Coturnix japonica: one gene and its partners. The main gene of each other region encodes a partner of the protein of the gene in region 5 in a complex. Links are inferred from orthologs where the notes say so. Each region holds a gene or a part of one and is shown on either strand. Other genes may lie near its edges.

Region 1 (4,072 bases), on a different chromosome or scaffold from region 5:
TTTTAAGATGGCCTGGCTAACACCAGCAGTTTATGTTTTCATGTTGGTAACAGGAGGAAAAAGCCCAAATGAATAAAGATGTATTAAACTTCCAGGCTTCTCCCCTAACTGTGACATCTATACTTGTGATAATCAACCTGCTGCACTAAACTAGGATAAATATGCCATGCACATCATGGGCAGTTCACCTACCCCAGACCTCTCCCTGGGAACATGCACTTCTATCCCCTTGGCTATAGAAGGGAAGAGACAGCTGAGTCAGAGTGCCCCAGGTGCTGGCACACTTCATGAAGTTGTAGGTGAACAGGGATGGGACTGAGCCTCAGGGTCCAACAAGGAACCTAGTGTACCCTAAAGGAGAGGTAATTGCCCACACAATGTAAAGTAGAGTAAAAATAAATGAATGACTCCTGTTGGCTTAGTCATTCAATAAGTGCTAGTAACAAACAAGGCTTCCTTTCCACCTGCAATTTTGTTTGCCCTCCAGGTCATTTTAAAAAGAATTTATTTACTACCACAGCTTTTCTAGCAAAGCACATATTAAATCTCCAAGGAGACAATTGCTGCCTCTATTCTACAATCTCACTGATAAAAATTCAATCCTTAGAAACCTCCAGGGAACGCTGTGGGACTGTGATTTGTTTCAGCTTCTGGAGACACACAGACAGTAGCACTGGAAGGTGAGAGGCAGAAAATTCCCATGAAAGACAAGACAACACCACTGCTGTTTACCTGGCTACGAAGCTGGCAGTCTTGTCAACAATATTCCTGACCTCGGGAGGAGGATAAATAATTCCCACCACAGGTTTGGCTGGTGCTGCTTCCTCTTTTGGCTCCTCTTCTGGCTGCAAGAAAAACATTTTTCTTACAGTCTTATGTATTGCTACCTCCTAAGTAGCAAAAACATTCCTGAACCACCATCTCTGGAAGACACATTTCACTCTGCAGTATTTGCCACTAGTCAAGATAGTAAATTCAAACAGCCTAAATCTAACATGGTAACAAGCAAAGGAGCTACAAATGATCTCGAATATCACATCATACATCAGCATCAGAGTGTGCAAACACAGCCTGGTAGTGTCCAAACTTTGATTGTGTTTATTTTTAGTGAGTTGAGTTGTAAAATTCACTTCCCTTTCTCTTTCAGTTTCTGTACCTTGAGTAACAGTCCTATGGTACCTTAAAAAGCTGTTCTGAAATACCATGCTGAAGGAGTGCTCTGGAAGAATTAAGCATTTCAAACAGCAACTCCTGCAGCAGACAGAACTGCCTGTTCTCCTCAGACCATGACATTTTCGTGGCACGAAGATATAGTTTAACAATCTGAACCTGTAGTCCTGCAAAGCAGCAGCACTCAGCAGCTTCCCAGGCGAGGAGATGGTGTTTGTCAGCCTGCCAAGGGCACCTGCTGCGGGGGCTGCTGCGAGTGAGACAAGCAGGAAGGCCATCCCATGGGAACCAAACAACTCTTCCCAGTGTTTCTGCTCTTTCAGCCTCAACCCAGTGGAAGTTTATAGATGTTGAGCCAAGATGTAGCAAAGCATGCCTATAACACCACACCCAGGAAGAATTCAGTATTGCTGGACAGCTCTGGAAGTTACAAGCATTGCAGGTTGGATATTCATAGATATTTCTTTTCGGAAGGAGCAGTGCTGCACTGGCACAGGCTGCCCACGAAGTGCTGGAGTCACTGACCATGGAAGCTTTCAAGAAACATGTGGATGTGGCACAGAGGGAAGTGGTCAGTGGGTATAGAGGGGATGGGGTGACAGCTGGACTACATGATCTTAGAGCTCTCTTCTAAACTTAATGATTCTATGATTCCTAACGGTCTGCAGGGCTACCAGAAATGGGAATCTAAACGATCAAGCCAACAGTAAATAACACATAGCATCCCATCCTACTAGGGCTTTAAAGCTTTTTTTAGAGCTGAGAAGAGCTCAGCTGAGTGTTTTCCTCCCTGTGGTTGTGGGAGGACCTGCACCACAGCCCCAGCAATCACCCCAAGGGCAGCTCTGCCTCCCAGCACAGCCAGCTGCAGTTCTCTGTAGGATGCTGACGGTGCCTCCCTTCCCTCACAGCACAGATACAGGGGACATCTTGATGGTAACTAAAAGCCTGCCAGACAAAACAAAAACACCCAAAACATTGGAGATTTGGAAATAGTTGTTCTCCACAAAGCGGTGATGCAGTGCCAAAGGCTGCACAGAGAGCAAAGGGGGGGGTCAGCATCCCTGGAGGTGCCCCAGGATGATGGAGCTGTGGCACTAAGGGACGTGGGCAGTGTGCACGGTGGAGGCCGGCTGGGGTCGGACATGGGGATCTTTGCGGCTTTTCCCAACCTTAAAGATCTATAAAAGACGTTAAAAGAAAGACACAACAACCCCTTGGAGCATTCACCCCCACTTCCTCCAAGCAGCAGATGGAAGGGCGGTGTAACACCACCATTAAGCGCTGCTTTTAAACGACCACAACGCTGCGCTCCCTCGTTAACTCCACCATAACAACGCGACGGTACATTCACATGGGGCCGCACCCCGTCACAGGCATTAAACCCCGGGGTGGCCGGTCACCCAGCCCCGTATCGGCCATGCAGCCCTCGCTAAATCCCGCCCACAGGCCCGAAGCCTCCATGCCGCGGTTCCTACCGGTTTGCTCTCTGCAGGCGGCGCTGGCTGCGCCGGAGGCCCGGCCTGCACAGGCCCAGCCGGCATGGCGATACAACAGACCGCTCAGACAAGGCCGCAAAGAAGGCGCCGAGACGCTGACAAAATGGCGGACAGGCACCTCGAACTGCGCATGCGCGCCGGAAGTGACGCTCAACGTCGCGACAGGAAGGAGGCGCAGAGGGGAGGAGCGCATGCGCAGAGGGTGGTTCCGCTCGTGCGGGCGGGGCGTTGCCATGGCAGCGGGTGCGGCGCCGCGGCCTAGTCCCAGGCGGCCGCCTCCAGCATCACCTGCAGCCGGTGGGACCGTCCCGGCGTCCCAGCGCCCTCAGCGCACACAGCGCTGCTGTTCGCCTCCCGCAGCTCCCTGCAGGCCGCTGCCTAGACACCCCTCACCCCAAATCATACAGCCTTGGGGACGCAGCGCCTGTCCCCTCCATCCTGCTGGCAGCCCTTTGGTGTCACCCACCATCCGTTCCCAGCGCTGGTCCATCCATCTGTCCGTCTGTCTGTCCACCCATGGCTCACCTCCTGGGCCACCCCGGCTGCATGGCGAGCCTGCAGGCCGACCTGAGGGACCTGCAAGGAGCCATCGCCGACGTCACCTCCCGCACCGGCCCTGCACGATTCCCATCCTGGAAGTTCCCCAACAAAGTGTCCTGTGAGCTGGACCTGCTGGCGCTGCTGGAGCGGTACAGTCACGCCGAGGGGGATCCTGAGTTCAGCCAGCATGCGCATGTGGTGCTGCTGGAGCTGGTGATAGACAGGTGAGCGGGCACAGCACCCTGCAAAGAGCAGCAGGGGCACAGCAGCTCCTTCCCCACGGAGAGAAGATGTGTGATGCTGCCAAGTGCTTTGGGCAGCGGGTTGGAACTGGGTGGTCTTTGAGGTCAAAGAATCACAAAATCATTGATAGGCCATCTGGTCCAACTCCCCCACAGCGAACAGAGACACCCACAGCTACATCAGGGTGCTCAGAGCCCTGTCCAGCCTGGTCTCGAGTGTCTCAGTCCCTTTTTCTGACCCTCCTCTGGCTATGCTCCAACAGCTCTGTGTCTCTCCTGCACTGAGCACTCCCCATCTGGATGCAACACTCCAGGTGAGGTCTCACAAAGCAGAGGGGCAGATCCCCTCCATCACCCTGCTGGCTGCACTGCTTTGGATGCAGCCCAGGATACAGTTGGCTTTTCAGGCTGTGAGGGCACAGTGCTGGCTCATGTCCAGCTGCCATCCACCAGTACCCCCAGGTCCTTTTTGTCGGGGCTGTGCTCAGTTCTTTTGTCCACCAGCTTTTACTGACTGTGGGGGTCCCTTCCAACTCAAGCTTTTCTATGATTCTATGAAAACATCTCAATTTTAAAGATGAGTCGTGCCCTCAGATCTGTCTTTGGATACCTGGTCCTAAC
Region 2 (4,090 bases), on a different chromosome or scaffold from region 5:
GCAAAAAGGTGCGTGTGTGTATCTGTGTGTGTGTGAGGAGCAGCAGGATCCGAACCTCAGCTTCATCCGTCCTGAAGTAGAAGAGAAAGTTCACCACGAGCTTCACGAGGCGCTTCTTTAACACTGAAGAAGGAAAGGAGTGATGTGACAGCGAGCCCAGCGTGTGTGGGGCCCCCAAACCATCCCAGCACTCCCAGCATCTCCATTTCCATCCCAGTGCTTCCACCCCAGGACTTCCATTGTCATCCCAGCGCTCCTATCCCAGTACACCGTTCTGATCCCTGTGCTTCCATCCCAATACTCCCATCCCAGCACCTCCAGCTCCATCCTAATACCCCAATCCCAGCACCCCCAGCTCTGACCCAGTACTCCCATCCCAATACCCCCAATTCCATCCCATTACCACCATCCCAACACCCCCAGCTCTATCCCAACACCCCCATCCCAATACCCCCAGTTCCATCCCATTACCCCCATCCCAATACTCCTGTCCCCACCCCAACACCCCCAGCATTATCCCAATACCCCCATCCCATTACCCCCATCCCAATAACCCCAGTTCCATCCCATTACCCCCATCCCATCATCCTATCACCCCAACACCCCCATCCCCATCCCACCCCCAGCTCATATCCAATACCCCCATCCCAATACCCCATCCCAAACAAAACCCCAGCTCTGCCCCAGCACCCCCATTCCAACAGCCCCATCCTAATACCCCCAGTTCCATCCCAATACCCCCATCCCAACACCCCCAGGCTCTATGCCAATACCCCATCCAATACCCCAGTTCCATTCCCAATACCCCCATCCCAATTACCCCAATTCCATCCCTTACCACCATCCCAACACCTCCAGCTCTATCCAACAACCCCCATCCCAACACCCCAGCTCTTGCCCCAGCACCCCCAATTCCAACAGCCCCATCCCAATACCCCCAGTTTCCATCCCATTACCCCACCCCATCCCACCCCCACCCCATTACCCCCATCCCACACCTCAATCCATCACTCCCCATTCCCACCCCCAATTAACCCCCCCATCTTCCACCCTCACCCCCTTCCCACCCCCCCCTCTACCGCTGCCCCTTCTTGGGGACCCTCATCATGGATCTCTGCCGCTTTCTCTGCCGGTTGCCTGGACAGGACAGCAAGCTCCCGTTCGTTGTACCTCATGTCGGACCCCAAACGACCACCCCAACCCTACAAACCACCCCTAACCCTACAACCACCCCAACCCTACAACCACCCATACCCGACCCGGTAGTGCTCTATCCGGAACTAGAGGGGATGGAAGGGGGAGGGCAGAGCGCATGCGCCGGGAGCGGGGCTGAGCACGGCGGTATGGGGGATTTAGGGGGAGGGGATGTGGGGCTTAAAGGGGGGATATGGGGGAGTGAGACCCTCATTGAGGGGATGGGGTGGTCTGGAGGGGGGTCTTGGGCCCTGTGGGGGATTGTTTCGGGGCAGTGACCGTCGCTAAGGGAATAAGGGCCTGTGGGGCCTATAGAGCCTGTGGGGCCTATGGAGCTTATGGAACCTGTGGGGCCTGTGAGGCCTATGGAACCTGTGGGGGCTGTGGAGGCTGTGGGGCCTATGGGGCATGTGCAGCCTATGGGGCCTATAGAGGCTGTGGCATATGGGCCTATTTGGAGCCTGTGGGGCCTATGGAGCCTGTGGGGCCTATGGAGCCTGTGGGGCCTATGGAACCTATGGAGCCTGTGGGGCCTATGGAACCTATGGAGCCTGTGGGGCCTATGGAACCTATGGAGCCTGTGACCTGCACTGGAGAATGAGGGGGGTGAGGGGGCTTAGAGGGGTTCTTAGTGGAGGGACAGGACCCTCCAAAAGGAAACTGGGGGGCTATAAGTGGCATGGAGAGTTCGGGGGGTGTTTGTAGGGGGCTTTGAGGTGAGCTTTGGTGCTCGCTGAGGGAATGGGGGTGTTTAGAGGGGGGTGAGGGGGTGTCTGGGGGGTTGTGACCCCCATGTTAGTGGCTGGGGGGTGTGTGACCCTGTGTGAGAGGGTAGAGGTGGGCTGGGGGTGGTTTTGTCTCTTGCTGAGGTAATGGCAGTGCCTGGGCCGTGTCCTCGTGGCAGGGCTCAATGCGAGGCCCAGCTTAGGGCTGTGTTGTCACTTATGTGTCTTTTCTTCATTTTTCCAGACTTTTATTTTATTTTTCTCCTGAAGTCTCCAAAGCCCAGAAATCCCCACCATGGATTTTCAGCACCGTCCTGGAGGTAAAACGGGGAGTGGAGGCGTAGCTTCAGCCTCAGAAAGCAACCGAGACCGCAGGGAGAGGCTTCGGCAACTGGCTTTGGAGACCATTGACATCAACAAGGTGAGCCCCAGTCCTGCAGGCTACATGGGGTGAGGTCAGGGCTTCATCTCAGCAGAGAGTGAGAGGTTTAGTGGGGATCTGTGGAGTGGAATAAATACTTCTGTTCCCACTGATGAGGGACTCGAGCAACATGTGGAAGGGCCAAGCAGAGGGATACCAGCACTGGGCTTCTGTTATGTTCAGTCTTGGCACTGGTTCTTATTATGCTGCAGTTGGGTGTGCTGTTACCAGTGAACACAACTGCTCTTGTTCCTTTTTCTCTATATTCCTAAAGCAGTGTTGTGCTGATCCCTTCACTCCATGAGCTCATAGAGTTCTTACAGTGCAGCTCTGCTTTAGAATCTCGGTTGTTCAGTTGTTCCAATGCAGATTTTACATGTAACTTTTCAATCCTTCTCTTCCTAGGACCCCTATTTTATGAAAAATCACTTGGGTTCTTATGAATGCAAGCTTTGCCTGACGCTCCATAACAATGAGGTGAGTTGAGCAGCTGTCTGTCTTGATCTCCATGGCAGCAGATATTTTAGACTAATTCTAGCTCCAAGTGCTGGAACCGAAGCTGTTCCCGTTGGCTGATTGCTGGAGGGCCAATGGGGGGAGCAGAGGCTGTGTGTGTTAAGCATGACAAGTTTCTGACAGTTCAGCAGTTGTGAGCAATCTGAAATTTGTGAGTTTGATTCTGCTGTGCTCTGAGGATTAAAATATCTTTGTCAGTGTGAAATGTCACCTCTCATCTGTGACAAATATCTTTCTGTTCAGGAACAGTTCAGTCTTCATAACTTTCTTTTCCCCCCAGGGAAGTTACCTGGCACATACGCAGGGGAAGAAGCATCAGACCAATCTGTAAGTCATTCTCCACCGTGTTATTCTCCATTACTTGGGCACATTAAAATTAGATAATGAGCACCTATAAATCTTGGCCTCCATCATGTAGTAGCACTCTGGGCTTGAATGCTCTTTGTCTCTGTTTGTTTCCTAGGCATTCACCAGCTCTGCTCTGAACAGTGGTGCTGACAAGCTCCACTTCAAAGCCAGCTATGGCATTTAGATTAAGTATAACTGTAAGGGAAGCTGTTTTATGAATACAGCTTGAGAAAAGTTTGTAAGCTTTAATCTAAGAATTCAGGTTTGCTCTGCTTTAGATACCTGGCTTGTGTAATTCATTTCCTTTTTGACTTTTAAGAAGTCATCTCAGCTCCATCTGTGGAGCTGGACATCAAAGTCCTCTTAGGAGTGGGTGAGGTGATGGAGGTGACAGATTGTAGTCAAGGCAAGGAGTGGAACTGGCCTCCCATGGTGCTTGTGGAGGAGGAGCAGCAGTTTCCCATTATGCTTTCTGTGAAGTGCTGAATGCTCCGTCATACAGAACTCACTCTGCCTTTTAGAGTATCCTTCAGAACCAAGTGCTGATAACCATTTAACACTGCGCGTTTCCAATGAACCCAGGGCTCGTCGAGCTGCCAAGGAAGCAAAGGAAGCTCCTGCCCAACCTGCACCAGAAAAAGTCAAAGTGGAAGTGAAGAAGTTTGTGAAAATTGGACGACCAGGTTACAAAGGTTTGTCAGCAGTGCCTGTCATAGCAGATACCCCGTGGCTGCTGGAGCTTGCTTGAAGTGCAGTGCTGTGGGCATGAATTGTTCATCAGCCTTTTTAGCAGAGCTATCCATAAATAAGATATGGGCTTATCTCCTGATGTCCTTTATTGTTTAAATTACCCATGGGTTGTCTCTTTATTGCTGACAGTCGAGTG
Region 3 (4,163 bases), on a different chromosome or scaffold from region 5:
ACAATTCTTAATAGTTTTGTGGCTGTAAAAATTGAATTAGTTGTTCTTCGAAGATTAGCAGGAGGCAGTAGCTGTGAGCATTGGGCTACTTGAGTGAACCAGTGGCAATGGCACAATTGAATGGGTAAATCAAGGACAGGCGTGACTGGGCAATGCTTTTTGGTACCAGCTACTGATAGCATGGGCTGGCCATGACATTGGACCTGAATCTGTTAATTAAAGCAAGACCATGCCAGCTTGTTATTTAGGTATGACACTATGTGGAAAGCTTCTGGGCTCTTAAAACCAATATCTTTCCAATCCATATAGAAACTTCCATTTTCCACACAACACAGGACTCCTTTTGTGAGGGGAAATGGCATCTTCCAAAACCACATGTTAAAAGTGTACCTTAGGATCGCAACCCTTGAGCTCAGTTCTGTTTAATAACAGTGGGAATGTGATATAAAGCAAGCTGGAAGTCAAGCTGAAGAAACAAGAGAAAGTTACTGCAAATTGATCTTCGTGGTGAACCCAAGCATGTGACGGTTACTTAAAATAGTTGCAGGCATTAAATTCCTGTAGTAGGGAATTAGTGTCTGCCTTGACCTTATCCTCACACGTCTCTCAACAGCTCGGTATATATCTCTGTTCCATAGCCTACGAGTGCAGGATGTGAGTTTAATAATACTAAAGAGCAGATCCTCTGTGCTTTCACATGAATCTCAAGTATATTTCAACACATGCAGTTATGCAAAGTATTACAAGCACTGAATTGCTCAGTAAACTTCTGTAAACTAAGCGATAAAAAAGCAAATGCAGACACAGGGATGGACTGACTGATCAAACTCATGTTCTCAAACACAAAACATTGGCTTTAAGTCAGACTTGGATCTCAGGTCAGTGTTGGTGCTTCATGTGGGCTAGACTTTGCATATAACATGGCTATTAGCAGTGCTAGGATTGGATTTACTCCTGCTGTGGCTCCACGCTGCGATGGATACATGTTTACTATCAACCCCTGGCTATATTCTCAGCGCTCTATGTGGAGCACAGGCATTATGGAGCATTAGTGCATGTGGAGCATTAGGCAAACAGCAGCTCAGCATTAACGTACAAACCGCCGCCATCTTGCGGCAGAGGCCCCGTAGCACGCAGTGCTCAAGCCACATCCCCACCCCTCCGCCTCGCCGCACCGCTATTGGCCACTTGTCTTCCACGCCGCATTCCTATTGGCTGGCAGAGACGTCAGTCAGACGGAGGACGTGGCTCCGATCTCGGCCTGCGGGGCCGCCCGGCCGCCCGAGTGGCGCTTTTGGCCGCCGTCACTGCGCTTGCGCAACGCCCCAGCCCTCGGCCAGCCGCGGCGCGGCCCGCAACTGCGCGTGCGCAGTACTGCCTCGCCTCCCTCCTCCCCCCCCCCCCGAGCGGAAGCGCTGGGGCCGCGGCAGTTCCGTGTCGGTGTTGTTGGCGCTGGACAAAATGGCGAAGATCGCCAAGACCCACGAAGGTAAAGGGCTGAAATCCGCTCCTGGCGGTTCTTTTTTAAGCTGCGTGCACCTTTCGCGTCTTCTAATCCCGTTATACTCCGTCCGCAGCCCTCAGTGGTGCCGGGGTTATGGCTGCCGGGCCGGGCCGGGCCCGCTCGTAATGGCGTCGCCGCCCATATGAGCGCCATGGCCGGGCCGCCCGGCGCTGCGGGGTTGTGCGGGCGGTGCGGAGCGCCGTGCTGCCATTGATAGAACGGCGCCATCCCGACGGCAGCTACAAGATGTCGCCCGCCGAGGTGCCCCCCCTTGGTCGGGAGGCGCCATGTAGAGAGTGCTCGGTGCCGCCGCTGGGCGGGTCCATAGCGGAGCTGCTGTGGCGGGGGCTCTCCCTGCTCCCCGCACGGCTTCCCGGGCGGCATCGCTTGTGGGCGTCTCGAAGCAAACAAAGCCAGTTGTTAGCATTAGCTCTGTGCGATTGCTGGCCTGCTTTTCCTCCTGTGTGTGTGTGTGTGTGTGTGTGGCGGGTGAGCTGCGAGAGGCCGTGTTAGTTACTGTTAGTTGCTATTAACGGTGCAGTGAGACAAGAGGAGGAGGAATATGGGCACAAAGGGTTGGAGTTTTTGAGTGAACTCTGTCCAGATGTAGCCCTGTTGTATGATGAGAAACTGCTGATCGATTTAATGTAAACTATGTGTTTAAATGCTTGGAAGACCTGATCTTCAGGCGGTTTCAGATTGTTTTCTGTATTAAATCCCTTGGGTTTGTTCCTGAGGCAGGAAGGGCTGTGTGCAGACGGACAGCTCAGAGCTCTCCAGCTTATAAGTAAGATCAATTTCAAAGTATGCGGAGATCTGAGGAAGCAACATCCTACGGTCCAAGGTTTAAAGTCCTACGTTCCCTTAACACCCTCGCTGCAATCTAAGTATATGCAGTGTATGTTTTACCAGGCTGTAACGTAAGAAGGGAAGTTTGGGTCCCATGTTTCTTGCACCACGTTATTTTTAAATGCTGTAACCATGTGAGTGTTTCTTTCACTGTGAGGACTTGGTTGGATTCACACACTTGGTGTAGTGTCCTTCCAGTGTCTTCAGTAGCACTGGAAGCCTCAGGTATTTCGTTTCACCCCAGTGCTGCATTGCAGCAAGCTGCAAACAAAATCAAGAACTTGATCTGCCCTTTGAAGTAGACAAGAAACTAGAAACACGTAACAAACCTGGCGGGGTCAAAGTGCTTCTTGGAGTTGTTTTGGTTTCACAGTCGAGTGATGGGACAACTGTGCAAAAATGAAATGCCTGAAGGAGTTGTTGGTTGATGGAGTACGTGTGGGATGTCTCTGAAGTTTCTTTCTGGTATTTATTAATTATTTATTAATGTACTTAGGAGCACAATGTCTGCAGTCCTGAAGAACCTGTGCTGGGAAGCTGGATGCACAGGCAGAGTTCAGCTGGGGCTGATGGCCAGCAATATAAGGCTTTCGTTGGGCTTCAGCTCTCATGAATCTCCGGGCAGGTAGCTGGGTTCCTTCAGTGTGGAGGTGACTGTGCCCCACGTAGCTATTAAGCTCTGGCCAGCCTGCAGCTGAATTAATGATGATTTTATCTTTATTCTTAACTTTCTTAATTTGTATTCATAGGCATCTTCTGCAAGCTGCCTCTGAGGAAAAGTATTGTGAGATATATTAGTCCTGAAGAAGATAGAAGATGAGCAACAGTAGTAAATAGCTCAGGAGCGTGTGGTAGAGTTTCTGGGTGATTTGCTAGTGTAACTTCTATGCAGCTTTTGGAAATGGATGAATTTCCCTCCAATTAACATCATAGGCAGTAGGACTTCAGATGGGGAGGGGGAAGCACAGAATTGTTGAGGTCAGAAAGGGCATTTGAGATCTAGTCCAGCCCCTGCAAGCATGAGCCTTGCTATTCTTTCACCCAACAAGAGCAAATACAGATGAAAACAATTATTTTAGTGGAATTATGTGTTTCCTTGTTGTGCCTGAGTCTTGATCTTGTTTATTGAAGGCAACTGAATGACCACAGCTGATTTGCCTGTTGCTTTTACCAGTGCATGGGAGGGAGATTGGTTAAATTTGATTCCTTGGTGTTGGGGATTACTGACTTAGTGTTCTCTCAAACGGTGCCAAAGGTGCCAAATTGCTGAGGTCGGTGACTGACCCCAGGGGTAATGGGTGTCAGATCCTGATATGTTGGGAGTGCCAAAGCTCCTGTTGGCCCTCATTAATGGATAGGCAAACAGTTCAGCAGAGCAGTGGTCTCTTCGCAGGTGGTGGCAGAGGCAGGAGTTGTCTCAAGCTGGTTACATTGAGCTGCCTGAGATGGGAGCTGTGGCTGAACTTCTGCCTGTGTTGTCAGGCTGTTTTGTTGGTTCAAACGTAATATAGTGTTGCAGCATAGTGGATATTTTATTCTTGAATAAGGTGTTCTTCTGTTGCACGTTCCCATGTGTCTACTCACACGCTTCCTCCTTTAAACAGGTTTCTTTTAATAAACTGATTGTGCTGATTTATCGATGGTAACATCTCAGTAGCTGCTTTTAATGAAAAGATTACATTAATTGACAAAGCCCTGTACCATCTAGTGTTGAAAAATACTGTTGTGCTGTAATTACCTTCCCCACCATCGCTTTGGAAGATCGGATGGGTTAATGGTAATAGTTTTGAATGGTTTGCTTCAGACCACA
Region 4 (3,510 bases), on a different chromosome or scaffold from region 5:
ATAAGAACGAGCTTTTGTTTACTTAAATAGCAATTCTGAAAACAAGAGCTTTGTACCTATGGGACCTTCTCCTTCTTCTAAAGCTCTCTGATCCATAATATGCCTGAACATGGGCAATAGAAAGGCGATAGTTTTTCCACTTCCTGTTTTAGCAATGCCAATCAAGTCGCGACCATTCATAATTGCTGGGATAGCTTGGCTCTGAATGGGCGTGGGTTTCTCATAGCCGTGTCTTAAAGAAGGGGAGAGAAACGTCAAAAAAAGAGATTGTAAGATCAAAATATGATTTGATGGACATATATCACAGTCATGCTAGAAGAAATGTGCACGTTCTTATTTACTTCTAAGCATCGGTGTCACTCTAAAAACATCTTAAAAATGAGCAGTCACATGATACAAATGGCTGAAAGAACAGTTTGTAACAACCGTTTAATACTGACTGCAAAATGACTGAGGACTAAACATGTAACACCAGCAGACATGGACACGTTGCTTTATGCAACAAAGAACGTTTTTCTCACTAACATATGTATGATAGAACAGAGTAGACAAAACCAAGCATGACTTGGGTTGTACATCGCTTGCTTACTTTTTGAGAGCAGTAAGAATCTTCATGGAAATACCACACTGAACCCAGGTCTTTATTGGTTTGGGGCAGCCTTTTCCCTTGACTGTTATTCCCTCCATCTCCAGTCGGTACACATTCACCTCTGAAACAGAGTTTGCATTAGAACAGAGTCAAACATGACATCTGCTACCTTGAGATAGCATGGGGTTATCGGTAATAGGGATCTGACTCATTTTCATTCTGTTGCTCAAAAAGAATCCCCTCTCCCATTCAAATTCTCAACAAAATTACTCCAAAGACTTGAGCTGTACAGCACTTCTTTGCTCCTTCAAGAGCACTCCACACTGAATCAGAATTTGCTACTTCCTTGCACACTAGAATGTGTTCTGCTCATACTTGTACTTACCCTCTTGTGTCATTTTAGCGAGTTCAGGTACTTCAACATAGAAGTTTTTCCTGAAGGGTTCATATTCTATTTTTCCATGATCCACAGGTTCTAGCAGCTTTCTCTGCTTGGTCTGATAGCCAGTCAGGGCAGTCTGAAGATCAACTTCCTCTTCTTCTGAAGAATACTGTATAGATTGTTAAGAGTGTTTAAGTTACTGTGAATGACATTCTGAGATGCTGTTACTTGTTTATACAGAAACTTGACTCAGAAGCAAAAGCTTTTTCTTAGCCCATTAAACTGGATACTGAAAATCTGCTCTCACTGTGAGAGGAGCCCATATCATTTGCTCATCAATTTATTTCATATTTCTTCCAAACCTTAACTTTCACTGTTCCATATCACTTCTATGACTTTATAAATACTAACTAGAACAGTCCCGTCATTCAGAAATAATCATAGCTATACAGTACAAATATTAAGAGAACAGTATTTAAAAAATAATAATTTGAGTGTATAGAATAGCTACTATGCCACTACATGCCACTAATTTGTCAGACACAAAATAAATAAAGAATTATCGTTTAAGAAGAGTTTTGAGACCTGGAACTTACAGTTCATTTGGAATTAAACATATTTATACTTACCTAGAAAAGAAACAGAAATGCAAACCCTCAGAAAACATTTATTTCATATTAGATATGTATTAGAACATGCAGGCTGAGCTGCCACATACATACTCACAAGACACTTCCATTACCTCCATTGCATCTTGATCATTCTCCATGAGTTCCCCTTTCTTCTTTTCTGTCTCTACAACTGCCTTTTTGGTTGTCACCACGGTTACCACTTTGGTAACAGTTGGTCCAGATTTCTGCAAAAAAGAAAAGAAAAAGAAAAAAAGTTAATAGAAATCATTGCATCACTCATAAAAGACATGCTGTATGAAATATACAGAATATTTCTACTTATGAACATATTACACTGTTTTTTCATACATCTCTTGCAGTGAAATTTTATGAGGATATTGCTATCAGCTTATTAATAACATCAGAAAATTCAAGGCAAACAATCACTGAATGGATCTAACCTATTTCTTCCCTTCTTTTTTCCAAAACCATTTCCATACTGAAACACAAAGCTACTTTCAATTTTACCTTTTCGCTCCCACCTCCACCCTTCACACTTCTCATATTGAACTTCTTGACTTCTTCTTTTACTTCTTCCATATAAGCATCCAAAGGATCTAATTCTTCATCTTCAACCTCATTGCCTTCCTTTTCTCCTTCTGCAGTTTCCTCATCATCATCTAATATGATTAAGAAAAACAGGAATAAAACAGAGAGGAAATAACTCTATGTTACATTGTTAGCCTGCCCAAATAATTACTGTCCATTTTTATTACTGTATCATTTTTCTTCATTAAAAAATCTCTCAAATTTGTTAATCTCAACACTACCTTAAAATGTTTGAAGCCGTGACAAGGTTTAGGCTTTGCTATTTCATAGTTCACTTTTTGAAAAGTCTTTAAATGCTTTAAAGATAATAAAAATATTATCAGGAACAAACGTGTTTTAAATGTTACATCTAAAATCAAAATACCATCATCATCTTCCAAACTCCATTTTTTCCCCTGTTTCATCTCCTCAATTTCCTTTTTCAGTTCTCCTATGTTCTCCATTGCCTTCTTGCGTTGCTCTTCCCTCCACTTCTCCACTCTTTCTTTTCGTTTTCTCATTTCTTCTTCCAGTTTGTTCTGATCAAAATTCTATGGCAAGAAACAACCAGTGAAAATTAATGGCCACTGGCATTTGTCTATTCTTCAGTCAAAAAGCCTTTCCAAACAAATGTAACTGAGCACCAAGTTGATCCATGGGCATACAGAAACCTATCACAACAGGAGTAAACAAAAAACACTAAAAGCAGCTACAGTGCTTTAAAATACAAAACTCAGCTGTTTTATTTTTCACAACAGTAGCACGTATACAATTCTGTAAGTAATAATCCTTCAAGAACAACAAAAAAAGGGACCCATCTATGCATGGGGAGCCCTTGCTGACAGCACAGTAGAAACAGAATGTTACTAATGGCAAGAATTGGAAGCACACCCTGTGACAGGAGTTATAGAAGAGAGTGGGACTCATTAACTCAGCAGGGATTTTGGCCAATCCTGAGAATAGTTTTTTTTTTTGTTAATACAGTAATCTATGGCTACCTCAGTTCCTTGTTTATACATTTAAAAGTTAGAAGATTATCCTCAGAGCTCCTACCTCAGTGGCCACAGTAGATGCACCAGCATCTTTATCCTTCTCTTCTTCCTTGTCATCTTTCTCTTTTTTCTTTTCTTTGGAAACTTCCACACCTTCTGTCCTTTCTTTAGATCTTGATCTGAAAGGTAACAGCAAAGATTTCTTAAAACATTTTTTTCTCACGGGGGAATAAACGTGTTGGATAGAAACAAAACCACGAACACACTGAATGGGGCTGTGTTTTCAAACATCTTATGAAGTGCACATTATCTCTTTAGAGAATCTTTCTCTGCTTTATGGAAACATGC
Region 5 (4,212 bases):
TGCTTGATTACTAACTCTGCTCCTGGACACTTGAGAAGCAAATTCCTTCTCATCAACTACTTTCATGAATGAAGCAGGCAGGAAAAAGACTCACCTCTTATATTCAGCGTTTTTTCTCTCTTTGGGGATGTCAAAGAGTTGGTCAAATGTAGACAGATAAGTGATGTAATCCAGTTTCTAAGAATGAAAGGAAGTTTGATTCAGACTTTAGATACACACAGCATATCAGCAACCAATTTCCAGTCACCAGACTAGAAGAAAAGCACAAAGCTCATGCCTTTATTCTGCATGGTCTGCACAGGGCTGGGGTTTACAGTGTGCTTTCTAACACAATGCAAAACAAGCACCATAAAACAGCTATTTGGAAATAAATGACATTTAAAACAGACCACTGAGCCCTCAGCACTGAAGTGCAATACAACAGAGTGCCCACACTACTGCAACCACTTACCTCTGATGATTTCAGATTAATGTATTTGAGATAGCAATCATGCAGATCTAAGTATCTTCCATACCCTTCTTCATCTGTGAACTCCACCAGGTCTGCAGGAAAGAGCACGCAGGGCTTTGTTACAAACTCAACATCCTCTGCTTGTTATATGCATGCTTTAGAAGCTGAACTGCAGACTAGTTTATCTTTCTTAAGCATGTTTATAATGCAAATGGATACTCATCGACTAGATGGCCACCAGCTTCCTAGTGTTATATCAGACCATCCCCCAAAAGAACCATCTCAACAGTGGAATATTTCAGGGTGGCTGCAGCCCAGAAGAATTTAAATGAAATTAAAACAGTTGTTATGGTTAATGTAGGGAAAGGGAGGTGGAAATCAAAGCAGAACAGACAGGTCACTAAATCACGGCAAGCAATGTGTTCTCAACTAAACAAACCTCAAACAAGAAACAAACAAAACCCTGAAGACTTACTTTGAGCTTCTTCACTTGGGTTGTCTCTGGCCTTCAACAGTTCCTCAAACTCCACTGACATTGGAACACAAATCTTCAGGAACAGAAGAAGTTATAGAAAAAGGGATTAGTTCAGCTAATGCCCAGGAGTAATTAATACAGACTGCAAACAGTAAAACAAGTAACTGAAGAGGTGTTTCAAGCACTTCTTCATGATTATATTTGCACTAAAGACAGCATTAGGCAGGCAAGAATGAATGCTAGCTCAGAAGCAGAATGCTCTTAAACTAATAGAGAGTGTGGAGGACATGGTGAGCATCCTGCATTTTCTCCTACTCAGACAGAGGCTCATATAAAGTCTCAAAGCATCACCTATTTCTAGACACTTTGTTTTCCTGAATGACATTTTAATACAGCAGAGATGAAGCCCAACACACCACAAACCAGTTATCCTTATGGAGCTGCTGCTTACCTCATTGGGATGCTTGCGGTGGAACTCTTTTATTTGTTTCAGTCTGTTATAGAATTCAGCAAATTCATTTGGCCCTGAAATGGCACTGAGCTCCTCCTTCCGTAAGCTACAGGTTCATAAAAAGAAGACAGGTTGCATATAGAAAACACGTTTATGTTGGTTTATATTGGTATAATGTTTGGAAGTCTAACACTGCATTCTGCTCCCACAAAACACCAGTGAGACTGAAATCACAGCCCCACCATATGGGGACAATAATGAAAAGATGGTAGTAAATAACCAAAAGGTTATTTACAAGTTAAGCTCACCCATATGGAAGCCTTAGATCTGCTGGGAACCACTGAAGTGATCACTACCAAGCAGCAATCACCAAGAGATGCTGCATTAGTGGTGGTCAGCCCTTCAATGAGGTCTAGAGGAGGTGAAGTCAAGCTCCACCCCTTTATGGGGAACAGCTAAATTACTCTCACCTGTGCTCCCACAGCTGACCCAACACTTGGCTCAGCTGATTAATCAGAGGTTCAGGCTGTGATTACCAATCTCCCATACACCCACTGATGTTCCACATGCAGCCAGGATTGTGCTTTGAGGATCAGGGTCACATCTCTATTGCAAACGCTGCAGTCTCAGTTAGAGACCGTCTCCCTCAATGATTCAATACCAGAGGGTCTGGTACAGCTGGTGGGGTTGGGTGAGAGGAGGTAGGAGTGTGGTGGGGGATCAGCTCCACCCCCATATGGGGATAGGAAGGGGGACAGGGCTGTAGTACTGCTCTGTGCTTTCTGCTTGAGAAGTGTTTGTGTTGCATGTTTCATGTGAAATCTGGGTCCTCCTCTTTAGGGCAGACCCCCAGCTTTGCATTGTAGCATCATGTCTGTGGTGTATAAAGCAGATCCAAGGCAGCCCCATGTCCATTCCAGCCCGCTATACACTCACCCATCCTTATCGTCATACAGGTCCCTCAGGTTGCTGCTCACTTCCATGTACCTCTAAAACACAACACAAACCTCACGTTGACACAAAGAACCTCAACCAAACCGGGGCCAATCTGGGCCCTGCACCTCCACAGCTACCCGAACCACCCCCAGCCCCACTCACACCCCGACCCCACTCACATCCTGCATAGCCCGAGTCCTGTGGTCGGAGTTGATCTGATCGCGGAGCTGCATAGAAATAAACGGCGTTAATAATGAAGGCCTGAGCCCGGCCTACCCCCCCCACACCCCCCCCCCCTCTCCCCGGGCACACACCCCCTGTGTCCCCCCACTCCCATCCCCGGGCTCACCGTGGATTTCTTAGTGAGCATCTCCTTCACCATGACGTCCATCAGCCGCTCTCGTTCCTCATGGTAGCGCCGCTGCTGCTCAAGGATCGTCTCCATCTTCTCCCCTTCCAGCCCGGAACCAGAAGCTCGCTGTGTAACACCGGAAGGGTCCGGCCCCTTCCCTGAGCCGCTTGATCCGGATTGAATGTGGTTCCGCGTTGATTTTAGCCCATGTGAAGGTGTAGAGCAGTGAGATCCACTGGCCGCCACAAGCCAGTTATCCCAGTTATCCCAGAAAAGTGGGAACTTTTCTGACACCTCTCGCTTCAAACCCATAAAGTCGTAAGGATTGAGAGCACTGCAGGTGCCCCCAGGCTGGGGTGAAAGCCTCCAGCTTCAATGTGGCTGTGGGCAGCGTTATACAGCCATGAATCACAGCCCAAGCAGAATAAAACATGTCCAGTCCGGTGCTGCCTCCTTCCTGCCTGCCTTGGGGTTACAGATGTTGCTCCTGGGATGAACAGACGTTGTGCTTAATGGGCTTTGGACATCACGGCTGAAGGATGTCAGGACTTAGGGGAAATGGTTTTAAGTTAAAAGAGGGAAGATTTAGGTTGGATGTTAGGGGGAAGTTCTTCACTAGGAAAGTGGTTAGGTCCTGGAACAGGCTGCCCAGGGAGGTTGTGGATGCCCCGTCCTTGGAGGTGTTCAAGGCCAGGTTGGACGGGGCCATGGGCAACCTGATCTATGGGGTCTCTATGGGGTCTCTATGGGGATCTATGGGGTCTATGGGGTCTCTATGGGGATCTATGGGGTCTCTATGGGGATCTATGGGGTCTCTATGGTCTCTATGGGGATCTATGGGGTCTCCTGGGCAACCTGAACTAGTAAATGTGTATGTTTGGTGGCCCTGCTAGGCAGGGGGGTTGGAACTACATGATCCTTGAGTATATTGAGGAATAAAGCTGTCTCTGTGAGTTCTGCGGCCTCCCCACCTTTTTGGACCTTAGCTGAGGGTCTGGAAGAAGGGATAACAGCAGGAGGAGCATTCAGGATGCCTGAAGGGCTCAGCCACATCCCTAACCTCACGTAACAGAGGCAAAGGAGAAAGTTCACCTTCAGCTCTGGTTCCCCACTACCCCAGGCAGTATGGACAGTAGTGGACCCGGGCTTGTTAGCACACACAGGTCCAAGTCCAAGCCTTCAGCTGCACCTGGTCTCCAGACCCATCCCTGCAGGGCTGCAGGAGCTGCTGGGGCAGGTTTATGTTGGGTTTAAGAGCTCAGAAGAGGCTGTGCTGGAGCCATGACCTGACGCTGCATGTAGATGCCTGCAGCTGGGAAATGGGTGACCTCCAGCAGGGAGCTGAAAAGAATGTTTGGAAAGAGAGAGCCCTCAACCACAGGGCAGCGAGGGATGCCCACAGTGAGCCCCAAAAGCATGTGGCAGGAGCCACCGTGTCCCTCTGTAGGGTGGCTTTTCAAGCTCAGTGTGTGGTTAATGCTGGGCTCACAGTGAAGGCTCTGCTCGCCTGGCTGCGTGCTGAGGAGTATTTCCGTGCCTGCTTCAGA

What was found.
Region 1: the proteins of SF3A3 (region 5) and SF3A1 are in contact, whole or in part, in an NMR structure (PDB 2DT7), measured with the Homo sapiens proteins. The link is inferred for Coturnix japonica from reciprocal best matches to the Homo sapiens genes SF3A3 and SF3A1. Residues at the interface, in NP_006793.1 of Homo sapiens: Glu80, Phe81, Glu83, Phe84, Tyr85, Arg87, Leu88, Ile91, Lys92, His95; in NP_005868.1 of Homo sapiens: Ala161, Phe162, Asp165, Val166, Leu169, Thr170, Phe173, Asn177, Phe181, Gln184, Leu185, Lys188, Phe195.
Region 2: SF3A3 (region 5) and SF3A2 share a complex: the UniProt entries of both Homo sapiens proteins name them as parts of the SF3A subcomplex of the 17S U2 SnRNP complex. The link is inferred for Coturnix japonica from reciprocal best matches to the Homo sapiens genes SF3A3 and SF3A2.
Region 3: SF3A3 (region 5) and SF3B1 share a complex: the UniProt entries of both Homo sapiens proteins name them as parts of the 17S U2 SnRNP complex. The link is inferred for Coturnix japonica from reciprocal best matches to the Homo sapiens genes SF3A3 and SF3B1.
Region 4: SF3A3 (region 5) and DDX46 share a complex: the UniProt entries of both Homo sapiens proteins name them as parts of the 17S U2 SnRNP complex. The link is inferred for Coturnix japonica from reciprocal best matches to the Homo sapiens genes SF3A3 and DDX46.

Annotation. Positions count from the first base shown.
Region 1 is NC_029530.1:9,656,237-9,660,308, reverse strand, and holds the start of SF3A1 (splicing factor 3A subunit 1), read right to left. Parts: upstream 2,804-4,072; 5' UTR 2,715-2,803; coding exon 2,649-2,714; intron 846-2,648; coding exon 733-845; intron 1-732. Other genes in the region: coiled-coil domain-containing protein 157-like, read left to right, coding at 3,186-3,437. UniProt on the Homo sapiens protein: Component of the 17S U2 SnRNP complex of the spliceosome, a large ribonucleoprotein complex that removes introns from transcribed pre-mRNAs.
Region 2 is NC_029543.1:1,224,609-1,228,698, reverse strand, and holds the start of SF3A2 (splicing factor 3A subunit 2), read left to right. Parts: upstream 1-1,284; 5' UTR 1,285-1,341; intron 1,342-2,163; 5' UTR 2,164-2,214; coding exon 2,215-2,340; intron 2,341-2,745; coding exon 2,746-2,817; intron 2,818-3,136; coding exon 3,137-3,183; intron 3,184-3,786; coding exon 3,787-3,896; intron 3,897-4,090. UniProt on the Homo sapiens protein: Component of the 17S U2 SnRNP complex of the spliceosome, a large ribonucleoprotein complex that removes introns from transcribed pre-mRNAs.
Region 3 is NC_029522.1:27,034-31,196, forward strand, and holds the start of SF3B1 (splicing factor 3B subunit 1), read left to right. Parts: upstream 1-1,358; 5' UTR 1,359-1,461; coding exon 1,462-1,489; intron 1,490-4,163. UniProt on the Homo sapiens protein: Component of the 17S U2 SnRNP complex of the spliceosome, a large ribonucleoprotein complex that removes introns from transcribed pre-mRNAs.
Region 4 is NC_029528.1:2,453,579-2,457,088, reverse strand, and holds part of DDX46 (probable ATP-dependent RNA helicase DDX46), read right to left. Parts: intron 3,342-3,510; coding exon 3,224-3,341; intron 2,722-3,223; coding exon 2,556-2,721; intron 2,263-2,555; coding exon 2,111-2,262; intron 1,828-2,110; coding exon 1,714-1,827; intron 1,141-1,713; coding exon 975-1,140; intron 711-974; coding exon 590-710; intron 233-589; coding exon 57-232; intron 1-56. UniProt on the Homo sapiens protein: Component of the 17S U2 SnRNP complex of the spliceosome, a large ribonucleoprotein complex that removes introns from transcribed pre-mRNAs.
Region 5 is NC_029538.1:3,123,839-3,128,050, reverse strand, and holds the start of SF3A3 (splicing factor 3A subunit 3), read right to left. Parts: upstream 2,806-4,212; 5' UTR 2,759-2,805; coding exon 2,663-2,758; intron 2,541-2,662; coding exon 2,493-2,540; intron 2,367-2,492; coding exon 2,314-2,366; intron 1,484-2,313; coding exon 1,378-1,483; intron 1,000-1,377; coding exon 927-999; intron 544-926; coding exon 452-543; intron 178-451; coding exon 95-177; intron 1-94. UniProt on the Homo sapiens protein: Component of the 17S U2 SnRNP complex of the spliceosome, a large ribonucleoprotein complex that removes introns from transcribed pre-mRNAs.